Coturnix japonica: one gene and its partners. The protein of the gene in region 1 interacts with the protein of each later gene in a pairwise test. Links are inferred from orthologs where the notes say so. Each region holds a gene or a part of one and is shown in the gene's direction. Other genes may lie near its edges. The genes, in order: USP2, LHX4, HOMER3, KIFC3 and NDEL1.

Region 1 (3,950 bases):
GACACGTCTCCCAAGTCTCATTCTTTTTGTGAACATTTGTAGTTGTTTCCACAGCTTGTCGTCAAGGAGAGAAAAAAAAAAGAAAAAAAAAGGAGAAAAAAAAGGTAAAAAAAAAGAAAAAAAGAAAAAAAAATAAAAGAAAAAGAAAGAAAAGCCAACCTTACGAAAAGCAACAATAACGATAACAACAATACACCTGTCCTCCGGGAGTTTTCCTCTGTCTGCACAATAAAACCTTAGGTTGTGTGTTGGAGATGTGTGTGCAGTGAGGGGCTATAGGGGGGGAGGGCACGGTTTGCCCTGCTGGGGGGTGACCCCCTTCTGCACCCATCTACGCTTCCATTCTATACCAGAGAACCCTTCTCGGCTCATTGTGAGCTCAGGGTTGGGGCCACCTGCGCTATGGGGAGAGGGGCAGTGCAGGGTAGGTACCACCAGGTATCCGTGGGCATATGGGCACAGGCTCCCTTGGCACCCCATCTCCATCCTGCCCTGCCTGCAGCGTGGAGGCAGCCCAGTGGGCAGGGAGTGAGTGGGAGTGGGGTTGGACACAGGGCATATCCCCCTATGGGTGACCCCATAGAAGCCTCTGGGAGTCACACCCAAGCACAGACGTATCGGCCCTCCCTGTTTTGGGGCTGGAGCTGGGCAGCGGGGATGAAGATGCCACCATAATTGCATCCCGCACCTAATTATCGTCAGCAGGTGCTGGCTGAGTCACAGGCACCGCGGTGCCGGCTCACGGGGTGGGTCAGGCGTCAGGGAGAGGCACCCAGGATTGTGCCCTGATGTCCCCCTGTGTCACCATGGGGTTACAGGGGTGGGTGCTCCTGGCCCCCTCCCACAGGGCTCTTCTCCATGTAACAAAACCCAAAGCAGCTCCCCGTTCCCCTCTTACTCTTTATCAATCCATTCCCTCCTGGACCCCCATCTCCTTCCCTCTCCCCTCACTCACCCCCACAACCCCCCTTCCCCTCCCCATCCTTCCCATCTTACCGTGGGCCTTACCTTGGGCTCACGTCCCCTTTAAGCCTCCCTGAAGCTGGAATGCGAGAGGAGCATTTCGGCGCCCCGCGAGGTCAGATAAAGACTCTATATTTATCTAGCTGGTAACCTGAGCCCTGAATTTCTGCTGTGTGTTTTTTACGCTGCCCCACAACCCTCCGGCACGGCCCCTCCGGACCATTCCCAACTGAACCTCGGGGTGATCAGACCCTGCCACAACTCCCCCAACACCCCCCTGTTCTCCTCCAGCCCCTGGAAGAACCCCGAGGAGGGAGGACTGAAACAAGGCAGCCTCATGAGTCTCCATTCACCCCACACCGTGCCAACCTCGCACCCCTGAGCGCGCAGCCACTGGTGAGTGCAGGGAGCACAGGGGGATAGCAGCAATGGGGAGGGGGCTGCGGGATGTCAGTGGGACCCTTAACTCTGCCCTCTTTTCCCTTTGTTTGGGGTGAAGCCATGGGAAAGATGTTTTTCTATCTCCATAGAGGGTGGGACCATGCCTGGCACTTGGCCCCTGGGTGAGCACAGCCATGTCCCATCCACTTCCCCCCCCAGGCTCCCTATTCTTTATCCACCTGCAGACCTCAAAGCAGTCACCTTGGGCCCTCCATCAGGGTTCCACTGTGGGTTTGGGATTTTGCTGCCTTGGGGTGGCCCTGGAGCACTGAGCAGCCAGGTGGGGATGTGTCAGCGCAGTGACGCCAGGCCTGCAACACACATGTGCTGAGCTGGGTGCATTCTCAACCTGTGACTGCATGGGGAAAGCTCCCCCACCTTGCTTCCCTCCCAGCACCCTCAGCCCTAAAGCAGCCTGGAATGGGCAGGGTGTTCCACATGGGATCCCCCCCATTGCCTCCCCTATGGCATCATGCTGGGAGCTCTGCATTAACCTCCAGGCTGGGACATTGTGTCTCAGGGCACAGGGACAGGGCTCACAGCCTGCGTAAGTGAGAAGCAGCTGAGCCGTAACACCTCGGTTGGAGCCAGGGCTGTGTAAGCTGAGCTCACCCTGGGGCTCTGCAGCCACCAAGGGGGAAAGCTGCCACCGGGGCCACCAGTGTGAATGTCAGCTCACTCAATGCCTAGGAGACCAATGGGGATTCTATTGGGAATGCTGGGAATGAGCTCCCCAACATGAGCATCCCTGCAGTGCTCATGGCCACATGGCCACAGACCGGACATTCCCGTGCCTCAGTTTCCCCAGGGAGGATGATGAGGTTGCAGGAGTCCTGACTCAGCCATGCCAGCCTCAGGGTTTTGCTTTGCATCAGAAAGGCTCAGCATTATTATTGGGCAGGGAGGGGCCAGGCAGGTCAGGAAGCGATGGGAGGAACCGGGGTTTTTCTCACACCCCCTCAGCTCCTCGGGCTCATGGCACACTCCGCTCTCCCACAGCCCTGGGGTCCACAGCGATATGACATGGGGACAGCACGGTGCAGATCATCCTAGCAGACACAGCAGCCCTACATGGTAAGACCTCTCCTCCCATGATACCAGTGGGTTCACCGCTATGTCCAGGGCAAGATCCCCCTCCTGAGCCCCATATCCCTGCACATCAGCTCTCCACACCCCCAGGGCAGGCAGTATCCTCTAGGGATTAATCCCATGGACTGAAAGCCCCCGTTGGAGCCACAGGGCTCCAGCACCCTCATCCCAATGTCCATGGGAATGCTGGTCCTTGGCTGGGTCCCACATCCCCCAGCAAAACCCTACAGTATGCACTGGATCCTGGCTGGTAGAGCAGCTCCAGGGCCCTCCCAGTGCTGGCACGGATGGGCCAGGGAGAGCCGGGTGTTGGTGGCTTGTTTGCCTGCAAGGGGATTATTCACCCCTCGGCCTCAGTTCCCAAACAGGTCTGTGCGCTCTGGCTTGCTCTCGCTTGTAAATAGTTTCCTCTTGCTGCTCCCTCAGCAATAGCAGCCAGGACACAGCCCAGGGCCGAGGAGGGAGGATCCCATGGTGCTTGCACTCGGTGACCATCCCCATGCCCAGCTGTGCCCTGCATGGAAGGGATAAAGCCAGGCTCCATCCCATCACCTCCACGCTGCCTTGGAGTGAGGCCAGTGCCCGCCCCAGCAGGGCTGGGAAAAACCTCTGAGCTGGGTCATCTCCTGGGTGACAGGGGACTCTTAGAGTCACACGAACCACTGTCCGGCCAGGGAAGGGATGTGAGGCAGCACAGCCCTGGGACAGGTAGGAGACCTGCATCAGCACAGGAGAGAGCTGTCCTCCCTGTTTGTGGGAGGTTTCTTGCTGCCCTGTCTTTGACTCTGTGCTGGTTCCTTCTTTGCTCCGGGTGCCTCCTTCCCCCTCCTGTCCTGTGCATGGGTCACTGTGTGGGAGAAGCCACCACCCCCCATAGGACCCAGTGCTTGGCTGTCACACTGCCCTGCAGGCTGGCTGTGCCTGGTGACGGGGACACAGCGGTCACCTGCACTGCTGAATTATTGATGGCAGGCAGGCAGGGCACTGGCATGGCAGGCAGACAGGCTGTATGCTGCAATACGGTGTCCCTTGTTTGTCCCCACTGTCCCCAATGCCCCCTGGTGGGTGGTGGCTGCAGCTTGGCCCCAGGCACCGTGCAGGGAGCAGGGATGGATGATGATGCAGAGGCATCGGCTGACCATGAGTGCCCATTGCCATGCCCAGTGAAGCCCTAATTCAGTGGTATCAGGTCCCTGCACAGGGTCTCCAGGTGGGGGTCCTGGGGTGGGCACTGTCTGGTGTCAGTCATAGCCCATGCAGCTGAGCCCAGGCCCTTCTCTTGCAGCCCATGCCTCCTTCCAAGACCTCTGAGCCCCAGCCTCCAGCATGTCCCAGCTCTCCTCCACACTGAAACGGTACGTTGACTCGTCCCGCTATGCTGAGAACACCTACAGCAAGATGCCCAGTGGCTACAGCTCCTACACCTCCTACGGCTCCACTTATGCCTATGCAGACAG
Region 2 (4,303 bases), on another chromosome or scaffold:
ATTCCCTAATAGAATTTGCCCTCAAGTGCAATTTAATTTTCCTGGGCCAGCCGCCCCCCCGGCTCGCTGCCGCCCGCCGCTTCCTTTCTCCCCTCTTTCCTTTCCCACCTCGATGCAGGCAGGAGCCTCTCCGGCCATAAAATAGCGGGGCTGGGGATTGTGGTGGGGGGGACACCCTTCATGTCTGCTAAACCCCTATTAAAATTAACAGCGCCCTGCTCGGCACAACCCGCGTTCTCCAGCCGCCGGTAAGTGTCCGCTCTGTGATTTCTCCATGCAATGGGGGTGGGATGCGGGGGGTCCGGATACCTCCTTCCCACTTGGGGGGGGGGGTGAAAGGGATGGGATTATCCAACCTTGACGCCTTCTCAGGGCACCGGGGGGAATGAGCCCCAAAGCGATTCGAAGGGGAATAGATGGGCGAGGGGAGGGAGGTGCGTGAGGGAACGGAGCGGGGCGAGGATAGAGGTGATGCGTGGAAGGTGCTGCGGGGGTCATGGGGCACCAGTGCGATGCGGGGATGGGTGATGCAGATGGCGGCAGGGAGGGGGTCCGTACCGATATGCGGAATGAGAACGGAACCCCCTCGGGAGAAGGGGACGCGTTGGGGCAGAAGGATCCATCGGAGCCCTCCGGAGCGGGGGGGGCAGAGCGCCGTGACTCCGGCAGCGGCGTTTGGAGAACGGCCTGGGAAAGGGATGGGGGACAGGGATGGGGTAAGGGATGGAACTAAGGGATGGGGGTAAGGGATGGGGCTAAGGGATGGGGTAAGGGATGGGGTAAGGGATGGGGGTAAGGGATGGGGGTAAGGGATGTGGTAAGGGATGGGTACAGGGATGGGTACAGGGATGAATACAGGGATGGGTACAGGGATGGGTACAGGGATGGGTACAGGGATGAATACAGGGATGAATACAGGGATGGGTACAGGGATGGGTACAGGGATGGGTACAGGGATGCCCTCCTGCCCGCAGGTCCCATTGCTCCGTGCGGCTCCTCCCGCCCCGCAGAGCAGCCCCTGGCCGGGCAGATCCGCTGCCGGGCTGTGTCAGTGCCCGGCCCCGCTCCCCGCGGGAGATCTGGGGGGTTTCGTCGTTCCCGCGCCCCGCTCACCGGCACCGACCGGCCCCAGCCCTTCGGCATCGCCCCGCTCTGCGTTGCCCCTCTGCTCTCGGCCGCTCACGGCCCGGCTGCCCGGCGCCATGTCCCGACAGCCCCATGTCGCGATATCTCCGTCCACGCTCCGCAGGTTCCGGACTCCCGGGGCGTGGCGCGCTCAGGCCCCGCCCCTTTCATTCAAGCCACGCCCACAACCACTACGCCCCGCCCCTTTCTGCCCTCAGGCCCCGCCCCCTAAGGCGTGCGGCGTGCGGTGATTGGCGGAGAGCGGCAGGCCCCGCCCCCGGCCCCCTGCGGGCGGTGACGTCAGGCGCGCTCCCCGCAGGGCAATGAATGGGAGGCGGGCGGAGCTGCCGGCACAGCTGCGGCACCGCAACGGGCCGCAACCGGCACCGACACCGACACCGACACCGACACCGGCACCGGCACCGGGACGGCTCGGCTCCAACTGGTGCTGCTCGTGTCCGGGGCCCGGCCCGCTGCCCTCTCCCTGCCCTCTTCTCTCCCCTCTTCTCTCCCCTCCGTCGCCCCCGGGCCAATAAAATGATGCAAAGCTCAGCGCTCGCTGCCGAAGGGGCTGTCAAGGGGCTGCCGGAGATCCTCGGGGTGCCGGTACAACGTAAGGACGCGTTTCTCTTCCCCGTTCCCTCCCCGTTGTCCCCCGGTCGCGTTTCCCACCCTTTCGTTTCCCCCCGTGTTCTGCTCGGTGAAGCCGGGGGGGCCCGTCGGGGCGGTCGGGGCGGCTGTGCGTGTGCACGGGGCTGCAGCGGTGCCCCCGCTGTCGCTGTATGTCGCGACACGAGGCCCCGAGCCTCCTCCGGTCTGTCGGTGCGAACATCCATCGGTACGTGCTGCAGAGCTACAGGTGGCGAGGAGCCGGGTGCCCCCCCCGGGAGGGCCGTGAGCGTCCGGCTGTATGCGGGGACACCGTGCGGGTGTAATGGGAGGGGGGGAGGGTGCGAGCAGTGCCGGTCTCGGTTCGGTTCTATTTGTTATCGTTGTTAGCGTTTATGATTCGCATTCGTGTTTATTATCGCCGTTATCATCGATTATTGCTTTCACGGTTCCCCCTCCCCCCACACCCCGTTCGTAAACGGTTCCGGAGAAGCGGAGCGTCCCGCTGTATCGGGGGGGTCCGGTACTGGGAGGGGGCAGTGCCCCATCCGCACCCCCAGCCCGATGTGGGGCTGTCTCTCTGCTTCTGCCCGCAGCAGGGAGCAGCGAACGAGATGTTCTTCTCGTGTATTTCAGCGCAACAAATCGGTGGTGAAATAGCGGTGTTTGTGCTGCCGAAGTTCCCGTGGTGCTGCTGGATGGGGGGGTGGAGGGGCTGCATGGGGCCGCCTCTCAGTGCGGGCTGCGGGGCTCCGTGGGGACTGGGGGGGTCAGCGGAGGCACCGTGTCGGAACCCCCCCATGCTATAGGGAAACCGTGAGGTGAGAAATAGGGGCATCAGTGCGGGGCCTCTGGCCGGGATCCGGAGACAGGGAGAGGGGCTGCTATCCCCTCCTCCCCCCCACCTCCCCCCAGGTCTGCTCTATCATTATAATAATATTTTATTCTTTTTATTTGGTTTTATTTTACCCCCCCCCCCCCCATCCCCATCCCCATCACGGCTCACAGCGATGAGCTCCCTTTGCCGTTCTCGTTTCCCATCGCTGTGAGATCGCATTTCTCGGCCCCCGCACCCGCACAGCTCCTTTCTGCCTTAACCCCGACATTCTGCATCGACTTCAGCTCAGCGTTGGGGAGCCGAGAGCTGCGGGGTGGGCCTATAAACCCCCCCACGGCCAGCGCTAATTGACACCCTCATTAACAGCGCTATTTCTTTAGGGGCAGGTGGGCAAACGTGCGGCAAAGCTTTTGCCGTACCCAAAGTAATGCCTAAAGCACCTTCCCGAAATAATAATTAATAATAATAACAATAATAAACGAATGCATCGATAGGGCGATCATGAGAAATAATAATAAGAAGAAGAAATAAGAGAGAAATCGATCTCTGTAGATGGAATAAAACCAACGGGCTGTGCTGCCAACTCGCAGTGCAGTGGGGGGGAGTGGGGCCGGATTGGCCCCTGTGTGTTTATATATATGTATGTATTTATATGTATATGTGTGTGAATATATATGTGTGTGTATATATGTGTGTGTATGCATGCATATATCCACATGCATACACACATGTGTATATACATGTGCATCTGTACGTGTGTTGATCTGTGTACACACAGATGCGTGTGTATATTTATCAGATCAAATGAAATGATCCGAACTACTGGAAAACAAACCTAAACACGCCTTTATTTCAATAGCTGTTTGTCCACGTTCCGATCTCTTTCCGGAGCTGTTTGGGGCAGATATGGCGATACACACCGCGGCTGGTTCCGTTCCCGACGCTCGGAGGTGCCGCTGCCTCCAGCGCTGCGCGTCCCCGCATGGCTGCGCCGGACGCGCTCCGTTCCCCCCCCCTCTCTTTCATCCGTCCGTGGGGATAACGCAGGGGGTTCTGTCTCCCCTCGTTGCCGTGGGGGGGTCCCGTGGGATCGGCGGCGTCTCCGTTCGGTGCCGTTTGTTGATGCCCCCCCCGGGGCTGGGGGTCACCCCGCTGCCCCACCGCCGGGCCCCGCCGCCTGCACCGCCCCGCTGCGATCGGCTGCTGCGCCCTTTGCCTTCACCCCTTTTTCTTTCCCCTTTTTCCTTTCCTCTCTCCTGCCATTATCGATCTTTTTTCCCTTATCGTTGCGTTTCTTTTGCCTTTTTCCTCCTCCCCCCCCTCCCCCCGTCCTTTTTTTTTTTTCCCCCCACTTTTCCTCCCATCCCTTCTTTTCATTTCCTTTTTTCGTTCTCTTTTGCTTTCTTTCCCCCTTTTATTTCTCTTTCCTTTCCCCTTCTTCTCCCATGTTAATTTCCTCCCTTCCCTTTAGTTTCTTCCTCTCCGTCCATTCATTTCCCTTTTCCTTTTCCGTTTTTCTTTTCCTTCTTTCATTTTTTTTGCCTTTTCCCCTTTAATTTTTTTACATTTCTTTTCTTTCTTTACCCTTTTATTTCCCCCTTCTCTCTGCTTCCCTTTCCTTCCCCCGTTTCTTATTTCCTTCCCTTTATTTCGTTTATTTCCTTTTCCTCCCTTCTTCCCTTTCCCTTTTTATTTTCCTTTCTGCCTTTTTCCTTCTTTTCTTTTCTCTTA
Region 3 (3,510 bases), on another chromosome or scaffold:
GGGACTTGCATGTCACGGGATTGTGACTATGCTTTGTTTGCAGCTGTTCTACCCAGCCAAGAAGTTATGGGATATATCCAAGCACCCCAGGCTTCACTGAATTTAAGTGTGGAAATGGCCAGTGCCTTGGGTTTAAAACAAAATAAAATGGAGACAGAGTCAAATGCAAGCCCTGATGCACCTGGTCTGTTATGTCATGGAAACATTTCTTCCTGCCTCTTGAAATGCTCAGATTACATCCTGATGCCTGAGATTCAGTTCCTTAGTTCAGCTCAGATATTACTGGTTACAAAATCCAGGCAGTACTTGCTTTCATGCAGCAGCTGCGCATTGTGTGGTGAAGTGCTTCCTTTAATTCATTCTTAAGTGACTTGCTTTTAATCCTGCAGCGTGACCTCTCACTGCAGGATGTGCTTCCCAAGCGTGAGTCAAGGGAGGAAGAGCTGTGCTGAGGGGAAGGCACTTCTTGTGTTCACAGCCCAAACCCATCCTCCGTCTATTCATCCATCTGTCTTCCCAGAGCTCCAGCTCGGAGATATCTTGTGTAGTGCAAGCAGCATAGCAGCCAGAGAATCACAGAGCTGGTGAAGTCACCATGAACTGTATGCTTATGTGCTAAGGGATAGTGAAGGAAAACTTCAAAGCAGGCTAAACATAATGTAAACACTAATTATTAGCTTAATTTTGCCACACCAGCTGTGTTGTGTAGGACCATCTGGTAAGCAGAACACAAGATTGCGATGTCCTGTTTGTGTTTCTACCCGCAAGTTGAATGCTGATCCCTGGGTGAATGTGCATGTAAGGCTTGCTAATCTCGGGGTACTGTTGCTGGTGTGACTGTGGTCTTTGGGAATGTGTGAAGACAACTGAGGAGGACAAGGGAAGATCCAGAGGAAGGTAAAAACCACTGCCTATAGTTAAACACCCTTGGTGGCTTTGTTACTGTGTCTGTATGAGCTGCTGTGCTTAGCTCCTACTGTCACATATCTCTAGATTGGAGGCAAATAGCAGAAGTGCCACTGGTGATGCATTATGCAATGCAAGTACCAGAACGTCAGTCCACTTCCCCCATTGCTCAGCTTCCCCTCTGCTCTTACAGCTCTGTTCATCTCTGTTGCAGGGAGCAGCCAATCTTCAGCACCAGAGCCCATGTTTTCCAAATAGACCCTGCTACCAAAAGAAACTGGATCCCTGCCAGCAAACATGCTTTGACTGTCTCTTATTTTTACGATGCCACACGCAATGTGTACCGGATCATCAGTGTGGGAGGCACCAAGGTAGGGAGCATTTGCTGACAGCATCACAGTTTGAAAGCAAGTTTGTCTCCAACCAGTGTCTGTTCTGCAATTGATGCTTTCTCTGTCACACTGATTAGTTTGCAGCATGGGGCACTCTGTCGTCTTTACTGCAAGGAATGGAAGATAAAACACTGCCTCCACACTTGAATGTGATCAGTATTGGACACTAGACCCTCTGCTAATGAGAAATGTGCTTAGTGTGCTTTCTTTTCTCTCTCTCCTTGACTCTTTCCTCTTTGAGCATGCAAAAGAGATCTTTCTAAGAGCCCTGATCCTGTGCTAAAACTGACCCATGTAGACAGAATGAACAAACAGAGGTGAGGCAGTCTGTTCAGCCACTAACCCCAAGACAAGGCTGATTCTCCCTCAGCTGTTCTTGATATTTTTCTGACTTGTTTCTCAAGACCTCCAGCAGCAAAGATTCCACAGTCTTCTCAAGCGGTTTATTGTGCTACTGCCCCAACCAACAGTGTTTTGTAATAGCTTGTGCTAAGTGCAGTTTAAGCCTTTTACTTAATGTTTTTTTAATTCCTGCTTGCCATGAAAGTGGAGAACATCAGAAAGTTGTTCAGTCCCCAAAGACTTTCCGCATCTTCTCTTTTCTTCCAGCAATGGAGGCCCAATGAAGCTTGTAATGTTCAGGCTTTCTTATTTATTTATTTTTTCCTACAGTAGACAAGAAGATTCACACTTGTGTGTATTTCTTAGCTAGACTAGAAAGACTTTTGATCACCAGAACCCCAAATAGCTGTTTTATACATTAAAAGCAGAGCTTCTACCCTAGTAGAATTGATAACCTACTAATTGGGGTGATCCCACACAACGCCCTTGGGCAGCAGAATGGAGTTTTCTCTAATTCATTCTTGCCTCTCTCCACAGGCAATCATCAACAGCACTATCACTCCCAACATGACCTTCACAAAGACATCCCAGAAATTCGGACAGTGGGCGGATAGCCGAGCTAACACAGTATATGGATTGGGCTTTGCTTCAGAGCAACACCTCTCCCAGGTAATATGGCAGATGCTGGTAGAGACCTGATCCCTGTAAGACAAATATCCTTGAAACCCAAAAGGGAGAGTTCAGCTTCAGGTGGAAAAAAATAAAAACAAAAACATTAGGGTCCTGCTGGAACCTGATTCAGGATACAAAGGTACAAGGAAGAGGTTGAAAGTAATCTTTATAGAGTATTTGAATGTTACAAAATGAATTTGGATTTAGGGCTCCCTGATTATTTCTAGCTACTCTCACACTTCTGAGTGCTGGAATCATGGGCAGGTAGGGGTTATTCCCTCAATCCAAATATTAATTGAAGATGAAACAGAAACCACATAAAATGAAATAACAGAGGGGAGGAGTAACCCAGACATTAATTCTAATTTGTTCTACGTTTTGATTTAGCAGTACAGTGACTTTTCTGCTCCCTTATAGTTTGCAGAGAAGTTCCAGGAAGTGAAAGAGGCAGCACGTTTGGCAAGGGAGAAATCCCAGGATAAAACAGAGCTGACCAATCCTGCCCTGAATATCACATCTCACCAGGTAATGCTTGGGAACGGGCATGAGCAGTGGTTGCTAGGGGAAATGGTCACTGTGCTGATCTCCTCTAGCAACTTTTGCTTCTGTCTTTTTGGCCCAAATGCTTTTTTGACAGACACTGGGGTTGGGGGTTCTTTCTGATGACATCTGTGGCCCTGTAGTCACTCTACTGAAGCACATGAAGTGGATAAAATAATTACTGCTTAAGTGGAGCTCTTAGGAAGGTTTACTCTCCTCCCTCTTTGTCAGTTAAACATTTGTCTTGAGAAAATCATGCTGGAAGAGGTCTTAGGTTTTCTGTTAGTGGTGGTGGTGGTGGTGGGTTTTGGCTTTATTTTCTTTAGAGTTATTGGCAGTAATAGGCAAGGAACATGCAGGAATGCACATAGCCTGGCTGAAGAAGTTAGGAGGAAAGATACGTGGCATTTCGAGCTATTTTTGTTCCCTTGCTGGGGCTGCAGGGGAGTTCCTCTCCCAAGTGTCTCTGGGTGCCAGTCTCAGAAAGACAAAGTGATTTCTTATCATTGGTGTCTGGGGAGTCCCTGCTAGACTTCTTCCATTTCTGTCTTCTTTCCACTGTAGAAGGAGCTGTGCTATCCGTGCACTGTGTTCCACCTTGGAGAAATCTTCACTGAGGTCGAGATGCAGGCATGACAACCAGTCATTCAATTTAGTT
Region 4 (4,197 bases), on another chromosome or scaffold:
GGCAAAAACAACCAGAAAAGTGATAGATGAAGTAGAGGGGCTGTTGTATAGGGACACATTGCCAGCCCCGGGCTGGGACCCACTAGAACCACATGGCACAGCACAACAGGGCATGACATGGCACAGGATGGCATAGGATGGTTTGGCATAGCATGGGATGGGGTGGCATGGCATTACATATGATGGCATGGCATGAAATGGAGTGATATAGGATGGCATAAGATGGCATGGAATAGAAGAGCATGACATAGGATGGCATAGCATGGGATGGAATAGCATAGGACAGAATGGCATGGAATGGCATAAGATGGTATGGCATAGGATGGGGTGATATGGCATGGTGTGGAATGGCATAGCATAAAATGGTATGGTATGGGATGACAAGATGGCATGGCATGGAGTGACATGACCTGGGGTGGAATAAGGTGGTATGGCATAGTGTGGCATGGGATAGCATGCTGTGGAATGGCATAGGGTGGCATAGCATAAGATGGCATGGCATGGAATGATATATGATGGCATGGCATAGGATGGCATGACATGGGATCGCACAGGATGGCGAGGCACAGCATGGCAGAATATAGCGTAGCATGGCATGGCACAACATGGGATGGCATAGGATGGCATGACATGGCACGGCTCTGTCCTAGCACAAGGTGGAAGAATGAGCAGCAGCCTGGCGATTGGCTCAGCCCAGATAAGAGGCTCCTTTGTACTGCAGAAATGCTGCTATCACGTGCAGATCTCTCTGCTGCCATGGTTACTGCCTGCTGCAGTGCATGCAGCACAGCGGTGTGACCATGTTGAGCTGGGACATGCAGCATTAGCATGGCTCTGGGTCCTGCTGCAGCACTGGGCAGTGTCCCATCGCTTTTTACACGAAGGCTCTTTTCATTAAAGTGTTTTCCTGTGCGCTAATTACGTTGGTTTTCCTTCTGTAAATGAGCCCGATATGATCTGTGTGTCTTGGCAAACAGCCTCGAGAACAGTAACCAAAGCCTTTTTGTTTGATCGCTGTTTGCTTTGCAAATCTCCCTGCTCTCACCGTTCCTGGCTGCCTTCAGACAGCCTGCACGTGCGGGTTGATGGGAGGGAAATGGGGCTCTGTGTCATTCCTGCTGCAGGAACAGGAAAGGTTTGGGTGTTCCTGAGACCCTGGGGTGGATGGCTGCACTCAGGGAGCAAACGTGCTGCCATCTGAGCACTGTTATCTGCAGAGGGAGAAAAGTCCACCTGTCCACCCATCTAAGAAATAGGTTGTGTCAGCAATTTGCAGGGCTGGGTTTTAATCTGCTCTTAAGGCACCGGCAGACAGGAGCAGAGGAGACGTCGCTTTCTCCTCCACTGCAGACAGAGTTGCTCTGCAGCAGCCGCCCTGGGGGCCCTTTGGGGAGCAGGCAGTGCCATGCATGCGCTGGGTGCTCTGGCTGCACTCTCAGTGCTGGGCTGGACTAAGGACAGCAAATGGAGGAGCGTGGCTCTGCAGAGCACCAGGGGACTGCCAGGAGCGAGGCGGTGGGCAGCAGGGCCCGGCCCCCAGGTGAGAGACATGGGGTGGGAGCGATGGCAGTGAGCTGCAGTGTCCATCCATCGCCATGCAGCTCCAGGTGCGGGTGTAGGGCTGTGCATTATAGATGAGAGCTGTGAATAATGCATGGCAGGGTAAGTTTGCAGGCCGAGCAGTTGGGAGGCGACAGAGCTGTGCCATTGCTCTCCCCTTCCAGAAGGGCACAGCAGCACTGCTCTTCCCACAGAGGCTCCTATGGCTGCGTGTCCCTGTGGGATTCAGCTCTGAGCAGCCAAAGCCACGCACTCAGTGTCCCTTAGTGGCACGGCTGCTGACATCAGCCTCCAAACTCAGTTCCCTAAATTATTCACAATTACTGCTTGAGCGTCTCCTCCAAAACCAAACGTGCTTCCGAGGGCACTAAAAATAGACAGCTTCGCCGAGGACGGGATGCCTTTTTTAAAGGAGACCGCTGCCATCCTTTCTGCCTGTATTTGCACCTCCTGGCTCAGCTCCTGGGGAGAAGGGCAGGGATGGGGCCAGGCCCTGCAGGGACCCTCCAGCTGCACAGCAGGAGAAAAAGACAGGGCTGCTGATGTTGGGTGGGTGAGTGGGGGCAGCTCCGGGTCACCTGAGTGCTGCCCTATCTCAGCATCGCTGCCTGCGGGTTGGGTTAATTCCCACTGTGAACTTGGAAACGAGTACAAATTTCTCAGGAGCACACTAAGACTTAATTAAAACTCGTTAAAGAGCTCAGATGGCAACGAGGGACTGTGGGGTTTCGTTAGCTGCTCCTGTGGGCTCAGCACGGGGATCCCCTCACTGGGGCTCTCAGGGAGGAGTGGAGTTACAGCACTGAGCTGCGTTATCATTAATTGCTCTGTGGGGATGATTCTCGCTCCATCTGATGATCCTCCCGGTGGGAATTTCCTACAGAGAGCACCCAGGTGTGCCCACGCCTGCATTCCTGCCATCAGTTTGCTGGAAGGGAATGGAGGGGGAGGTTAAACTTTGGCCAGGATATCGTATTTTCCCCCCATCTCCCCCGAGGTGTTACAGATGTAGGTTAAATATTTGCTCGGGGCAGAGCAGACTGCAAATGCAAAGGGCCCCCATCGGCACAATCAATGGGGCTTCCCTCCATCCACACTCGTGGGCAAATAGGGGGGAAATGGGAATGAAGCCGCCTGGCTGAGCCGATCCCTCATTGCATACACACGCACAGGAGGTGGCAGCGGGGCTGGCCGCCCTCCTGCTGCTCTCCCAGCGCTCATTGATCCCGGGCCGGCACTCGGATGTCTGCTCCCAGGCTGGCAGCGAGGAGGGATGCTTTGCAGACGGGGAAAGAGCTGCTCTAAAAGGAAGGGCAGAGCCCGCGGCGCCGCGTTGGAACGTGGAGAGAAAGCAAAGGCAGCACGCAGTGAGCTGGGGCTGGAGAGAGGGGGGTGGGGGGGCAGCCCTATTGCTCGCGCAATATGAGGGTGATAGAGGGGCTGCTTCCAATGCGAAAGAGCCCTGAGGGTCGGGATTTCCATGCTCAGCCCCGAGTACCATCCTTAGGATAAACCCCACCGGCCCGGTGGGCACCCAGATCTCCTGGTGCATTGGGGTCCTGCTCTGGGAGCCGTCCATCTCCCCTCACCCATTTAGTCTCTTCTCGATGCAATTGACGCAACGTACGCCCGCTGCATAATTGCAATGCCATCAAAAAACCTGAAGCATTCAAAGGACAGGAAATGACTTAACGCCCAGAGCTATTTGCATAAACATTATTTTGCCCTCACAGCTCGTAAATTAAGGCAGTGACAATACGACATTTAGAGTCGCTGCTGGAATGCTTACAGTCACCTCGTGTCCGCCCGTGTCATCGCTGAACCAGCGGCAGCCGCTGCACGGACACGGGGAGCCCTGCGTGAACACCTACAGCACCCACAGTGGGGCTGAGAGAGACTATATGGGGCTGAGAGGGGCTGTGGGGGCTGGATAAGGCTATGAGGGGCTTTAAGGGGCTGAGAGGGGCAGGTCGGGGCTGTGTGAGGCTATGTACAGCTGAGAGGGGCTATATGGGGCTCTGTAGGACTGAGAGAGGCTGTGTGGGACTACGAGCAGCTGTAAGGGGCTGAGTGGCAGAGTTGGGCTACGTGGGGCTGAGAGTGGCATTGCGGGGCCGTGCATCCCCCAGGCACCGCCGCCCGTCGGGGGTCCCGGGCGTTACCAGGGCAACGAACCGGGGCGGAGCAGCCGGTGCCGACGCCCGGGTGGGCGGGACCGGGGCGGGGAGCGGAGCCGCAGCGGGCGGCCGGTGAGCGGCACCGGGAGGGAACCGGGAGCGGGCGGTACCGGGAGCGGGCGGGGCCGGGCCGGGCCGGGCTTCCCTTTGTGTGCGGGACGGCGGTGGGAGGGACCGGGGTGCGGAGCGGGACCGGCGGACTTTGCGAGGTGCCGAGTCGCTCTCCCTGCGGCAGCCGAGGGGTCGCGGAGCCGGGGACCCCCCGTGCCATGCCGGCAGCCCGCCCGGGCCGGGAGCTGCCCCTGCAGCGTGAGTAGCGCCCAGCTCCGCGGAGGGGCGGGGGGAGGAACCGGCAAGCCCGCATTCTTCGCATTGCTGCGCGGCCGGGGAGCGGGAGCGAGCTGCAGAGCTGCAGGGGCGTGGGGTGCCCTGCGGGTTGCGCGTCCTGCTGCTCGCCCTG
Region 5 (4,201 bases), on another chromosome or scaffold:
ACACGACTTAGTGAAGTTTGTAACCTACAAGCTCCAGTTTTTAGGAGCAATCATAGTGTGGAAATACTGTTCCAATTTAGGTGCAGAGTCGCTCTGTCCCACTGACTGTGTAATGGGCGCCTGAAAGGAGCCATCGCATTTTGAACATAGCTCTTGTTGTAGAGCTGCTCGGATCTGGAGTTCTGCCCGTGTAACTGAGTTTTCCCAGGGTGCTGAGTGAATGCTAAGCTGTGTTGTAATGAATTCTGAGTGGGCATCCACATGAGCCTGCTCTCATTTTCCCTGGAAGACGCTGCTGCATTGTCTTGTCTGCTCCTGAAAGCCCCAGTGTTGTTTGTCAAAGGCCCGATTCTGCAAATGCCACGTATACAGAGGAGCTTCTGAATGGGAAGGGCTTGTGCTGGGCTCAGCTCTGCACAATGCCTGCAGCCAATGCAGCCAACAGTGCGCTCAGCACGGCGCTTTGTATCCAGCTCTTGGCATGCCGTGGGCATCCACTGTCCCACGCATGGTCAGGGTTGTGTTAGATTCTCTTAGTGCTGTGGAGCTGCTTTTTGCCCCACTATGGGCAACGGATGGCAGAAGGGAAAGGTGCAGGTTGGGAGCTGTCTGTGTCTCCTAACCCTCAAAGCAGTATTTATGGTTCTGACCAGCTGTGGATGATGTGAGCCTGCTCTCATCTTTCTCTTGTCCCCCAGGCATGGGAGAGAAGACAGACAGTAAAAGCTTGTCTGCAGGAGTGCTTAGCTGGCATGTTGGCATGAGCATCGGATGGAGGTGTTTCTGTAGTGAGGTTGGTGGATCAAAACTCAGTGGTGGCAGCATTAGGTGTGATGGAAAACACGGAGCGTGGGGAGCTGTGAGCTGTTGCTGTATGATGAGATGGACAAGGCTGGGGCACTGCCTATGGCAGGTCTGCTCTGTCCCTCTGGGAGGTGGCTTTGGAGGAAGAGTGGGGCTCTGATGAACATGGGGGTCCCAGCACTGCTGGCTGCTGGCTGCTGCTTGCAGGGTGTTGGTTCCAAGGGTGTGTCTTGTGCAAGCAGACAGGAAGGAGTCTTGGACCCAGACACACGTTATCGTGGCTGCTTCTAGGAAATGATGTAAGGCACTTCCTCGTACTGACTTTTCTCTGAATTCAGCTTGATGGGTGGTTCCTTGGTTGTTTACCTTTAGACACAGCTGTGGGGCTGACCCTGTTCAATGCGGTGCTTCATTTAATGAGGTGAAAAAGTGATTCTGGCTGACTTGAGAGTGCCAGCTGAGAGCCAAGAGCCTTGTGACTTCTGCTGAGGTGGTTTCAATGTGATTGGTGTGGGACTGATGTTATGGACAGCACGCAGCAGTAATCAACTGCTCACCTCTTCCTCAACCCACAGATCTGCATAGCAGTTCAGGAGCTGCTTGACGTGTGCCTGAGCCACAGCAGATGTCTGCCTGCCTTAATGCATCAGCCTGTGAGACACTGGCAGCTCAGGAGGTGATTCATGGGCTCTGCATCCACTGTAAACACAGCTGATTTGTTCCTGTTGTCATTAAACTGCCTTGGTAACAGGTGCAATAACTGAAGCACATACACCCCAAGAGATTTTCATCTGAAGAGATACAGCAGGACTGTGGTGCTGGGGGGAATGGTGGTGCCTCCTATTGTTTTATTCTCAGCTCAGGGCCGTGTAGAAAAGGAGGCATGGTCAGTTGGCTCAGGCAGCATGAAGGCCTGGTTCGTCACAGAGTGCTACTGCAGCACAGCTGTAAGTTAAGTAAAGACAGAGAGAGAGCTGAGGGTTTTTGGATGTACTGAGCACCCTGCAGGTAAGGTTGGTTTCATGCCCTGGGTTGTAGCAGCTGCAGAGCAGTGTGCCAGTTTGGCTGTGCTTTAGGTGTGAGCCAGAATGGATGGGCTGCTGTGCCCTCTGATGGGAGTGCTGTCATCATATTGTCCCACTTCTGGGTGTCTCAAATGTGGGTCACTGAGATGCAGAGCATGACAGTGTGACACTTTCAGGCCTGGAGGGACAGCATTGGCTATTGATGACTGTCAGTATGTGAAAGTCAAGGCTTCTAGGTCATCTGCAGTGATTAATCTGCTGTGACGAGCTTGGTACAAACATTGTTTAAAGCCTCTGCAACAGAAGTGAGTTTCAGCTTATTCTTTTCTGGAGATTTATGATCTATTTTAAATGGTGTTTTCTGGAGAGGAAGAAAAAAAATGGCTACCTGTGAGTAAGAGGGAGCTTGGAAATGGAATGGAGCTGCCTGGGGCTGGGAGCTGGGCCTGGCTGAGTGTATCCCTGGGTGCTGCAGTGAGTGCAGGTCCACCACCAGCACTGCTTCATCCTCATCGTCATCTTCAGTAACATCTGAGGTCTGGTGTGTGGGGTGCTCTCGTGTGCAGTCATAGTGAACAGTGTTTGTACTATGCACTGTAGGAAAAACCTTTTACAAATCCAAGTGGAAACTGTGATAGCTGTAAATCATTACCCCTGGTGGTCCTAAATGAGCCAGTGGCTTTAACTGCTGTTTCCATGGTCGGTGAATGATACAGCCCAATTTTGTGGTCTCTTTTTCAGGCTGCTGCATGAGCGTTTCCAGAGGTTGGAGACCATGATGTTACTTGTTGCAGCTGGTCTTTGCTCAGAGGTGGCTGTTAGGAATCATTAACATTCTGCAGGCCAGTCTCAAGTCTGTTTGCTCCTGACAGGCCACAGCTTTGAAGTACAGCAGCAGTGGGGGGTTACTCTGCCTGCCTCATCATACTAAGCGTTTTCTTATGTCTGCATCCTACAGGTCATATTGAACATGGACAGTGAGGAAATTCCAACCTTCTCAAGTCCAAAAGAGGAAACTGCCTATTGGAAAGAGCTTTCCTTGAAGTACAAACAAAGGTACTGTTGGATATTTTCAGAGTGGATTTGGTTCTAGATGACTGAGAATGTAGCTTAATCTATTTCTCTGCTAGACTTTAATCAAAATGAGCATTAGATGTATTAAAATGAATCTCACCATTTCCAGCTTTAGGTGCAGCTTTTAGATCCAGCCTTGTGCAGGCTGAGTATTTCATTCTCAGTGTTACTATGCCATGAACTCAAGACTGAGCACGTTAGAGCAGGAGAAGAGCTCTTCTATGATCATGTGTATGTTTGTATAATTAAAATGCTGTCTTAAGTACTAGCTTGATGTTTTGCAGTAGGAAGACTGCCTGTGGGTTTGCCTGGTATCATTACTGTTCCCTCAGGCTTCTTGCACTTGGTCTGAGAAGTTTCTTATTTGGTAGCTGGCTGCAATATGTTGAAGCACATTCATTATAGCTCATAGTTCTGCCTGTGTTTGCCTCTGCCATCTTTTAAGGGGAGCAGAAGGCTTTTTGGTTACAAAAAGTGGCAAGAGAACTTGTTGTCTTGTGTGCTGCTTGTGGTTTGTTGTGGGGAGGGGAGTCAGTAGTGGTGGTTTCCTGCTCATTGCCTTTGGAGAGCTTTACTTGCACTCTATGTTAGTGTGCAATAGAAGCAAAGCCAGCTAAACCTCTCTCAAGTCCAAGGAGCCCAGTGTGCAAGCTGTTGTTTTGTTTGGGTCTGTTTTCTGGGTGTAGGGAACAGAGGGTGGGCATTTGAGATCCCTGAGCTGTATGAGAAAAGTCTGTCAGGTCTCTCTGAGGCCAATGAATATGTAGCTTCCTAAATATCATCAGTTTTCTCTGCTGGTTGCAAAGAGTTGAGCTATTACGTATGGTAAAGATGAGAGTGTAATTAGTGAAATATGTGGAGTTGCTGCTTCTAGTAATTTAATACCTTGCAGTGGCATAAGGTGGGTAAATGCTGGCTTCCTACCAAAGCACTTAGTAACCCTGAGATCCAAACCTTAATGCTTTCCAGCAAACTTATATTTCCAGGTAGTGCTGAGATGCAGTGACTATTGTTCTGTGCTGGTTTTTGCCTAAAGCAGGTTAAAAGCTTTACTTAGTGACTCTCTCAAGGCTGCTAGAGTGAAGGCTAGTGGGGTACCAAGTGTCAGACTTGCAGGAATCCTGGAAATAGCCTTGATATAGGTTGTATTTGCATGTGTATTGAATAGAGTTATTTGATATAAAGGGCTGAATTTCCATTTGTAGGTAAACAATGCAGTTTCTCTGTTTCCCCCAGTTTTTACTTTCCCTGTAGAGGTCCCTGGTTAAGTACTTTAAAACTCTTGGTGCTTTTTCACC

Evidence for each region.
Region 2: the proteins of USP2 (region 1) and LHX4 interact in binary tests that used the Homo sapiens proteins (3 or more experiments, as listed by UniProt). The two-hybrid records come from large-scale screens. The link is inferred for Coturnix japonica from reciprocal best matches to the Homo sapiens genes USP2 and LHX4.
Region 3: the proteins of USP2 (region 1) and HOMER3 interact in binary tests that used the Homo sapiens proteins (3 or more experiments, as listed by UniProt). The two-hybrid records come from large-scale screens. The link is inferred for Coturnix japonica from reciprocal best matches to the Homo sapiens genes USP2 and HOMER3.
Region 4: the proteins of USP2 (region 1) and KIFC3 interact in binary tests that used the Homo sapiens proteins (3 or more experiments, as listed by UniProt). The two-hybrid records come from large-scale screens. The link is inferred for Coturnix japonica from reciprocal best matches to the Homo sapiens genes USP2 and KIFC3.
Region 5: the proteins of USP2 (region 1) and NDEL1 interact in binary tests that used the Homo sapiens proteins (3 or more experiments, as listed by UniProt). The two-hybrid records come from large-scale screens. The link is inferred for Coturnix japonica from reciprocal best matches to the Homo sapiens genes USP2 and NDEL1.

What each region holds. Positions count from the first base shown.
Region 1 is NC_029539.1:3,556,356-3,560,305, forward strand, and holds the start of USP2 (ubiquitin carboxyl-terminal hydrolase 2), read left to right. Parts: upstream 1-1,145; 5' UTR 1,146-1,359; intron 1,360-2,403; 5' UTR 2,404-2,478; intron 2,479-3,778; 5' UTR 3,779-3,819; coding exon 3,820-3,950. UniProt on the Homo sapiens protein: Hydrolase that deubiquitinates polyubiquitinated target proteins such as MDM2, MDM4 and CCND1. Isoform 1 and isoform 4 possess both ubiquitin-specific peptidase and isopeptidase activities.
Region 2 is NC_029523.1:5,732,727-5,737,029, forward strand, and holds the start of LHX4 (LIM/homeobox protein Lhx4), read left to right. Parts: upstream 1-1,502; 5' UTR 1,503-1,662; coding exon 1,663-1,738; intron 1,739-4,303. UniProt on the Homo sapiens protein: May play a critical role in the development of respiratory control mechanisms and in the normal growth and maturation of the lung. Binds preferentially to methylated DNA.
Region 3 is NC_029543.1:2,751,231-2,754,740, forward strand, and holds part of HOMER3 (homer protein homolog 3), read left to right. Parts: intron 1-1,120; coding exon 1,121-1,277; intron 1,278-2,177; coding exon 2,178-2,309; intron 2,310-2,729; coding exon 2,730-2,837; intron 2,838-3,510. UniProt on the Homo sapiens protein: Postsynaptic density scaffolding protein. Binds and cross-links cytoplasmic regions of GRM1, GRM5, ITPR1, DNM3, RYR1, RYR2, SHANK1 and SHANK3.
Region 4 is NC_029526.1:1,981,518-1,985,714, reverse strand, and holds the start of KIFC3 (kinesin-like protein KIFC3), read left to right. Parts: upstream 1-1,390; 5' UTR 1,391-1,405; coding exon 1,406-1,540; intron 1,541-2,846; exon of another isoform or gene 2,847-2,927; intron 2,928-3,744; exon of another isoform or gene 3,745-3,809; intron 3,810-3,852; exon of another isoform or gene 3,853-4,046; intron 4,047-4,197. UniProt on the Homo sapiens protein: Minus-end microtubule-dependent motor protein. Involved in apically targeted transport. Required for zonula adherens maintenance.
Region 5 is NC_029533.1:1,496,331-1,500,531, forward strand, and holds the start of NDEL1 (nuclear distribution protein nudE-like 1), read left to right. Parts: upstream 1-1,401; 5' UTR 1,402-1,429; coding exon 1,430-1,480; intron 1,481-2,787; coding exon 2,788-2,885; intron 2,886-4,201. UniProt on the Homo sapiens protein: Required for organization of the cellular microtubule array and microtubule anchoring at the centrosome. May regulate microtubule organization at least in part by targeting the microtubule severing protein KATNA1 to the centrosome.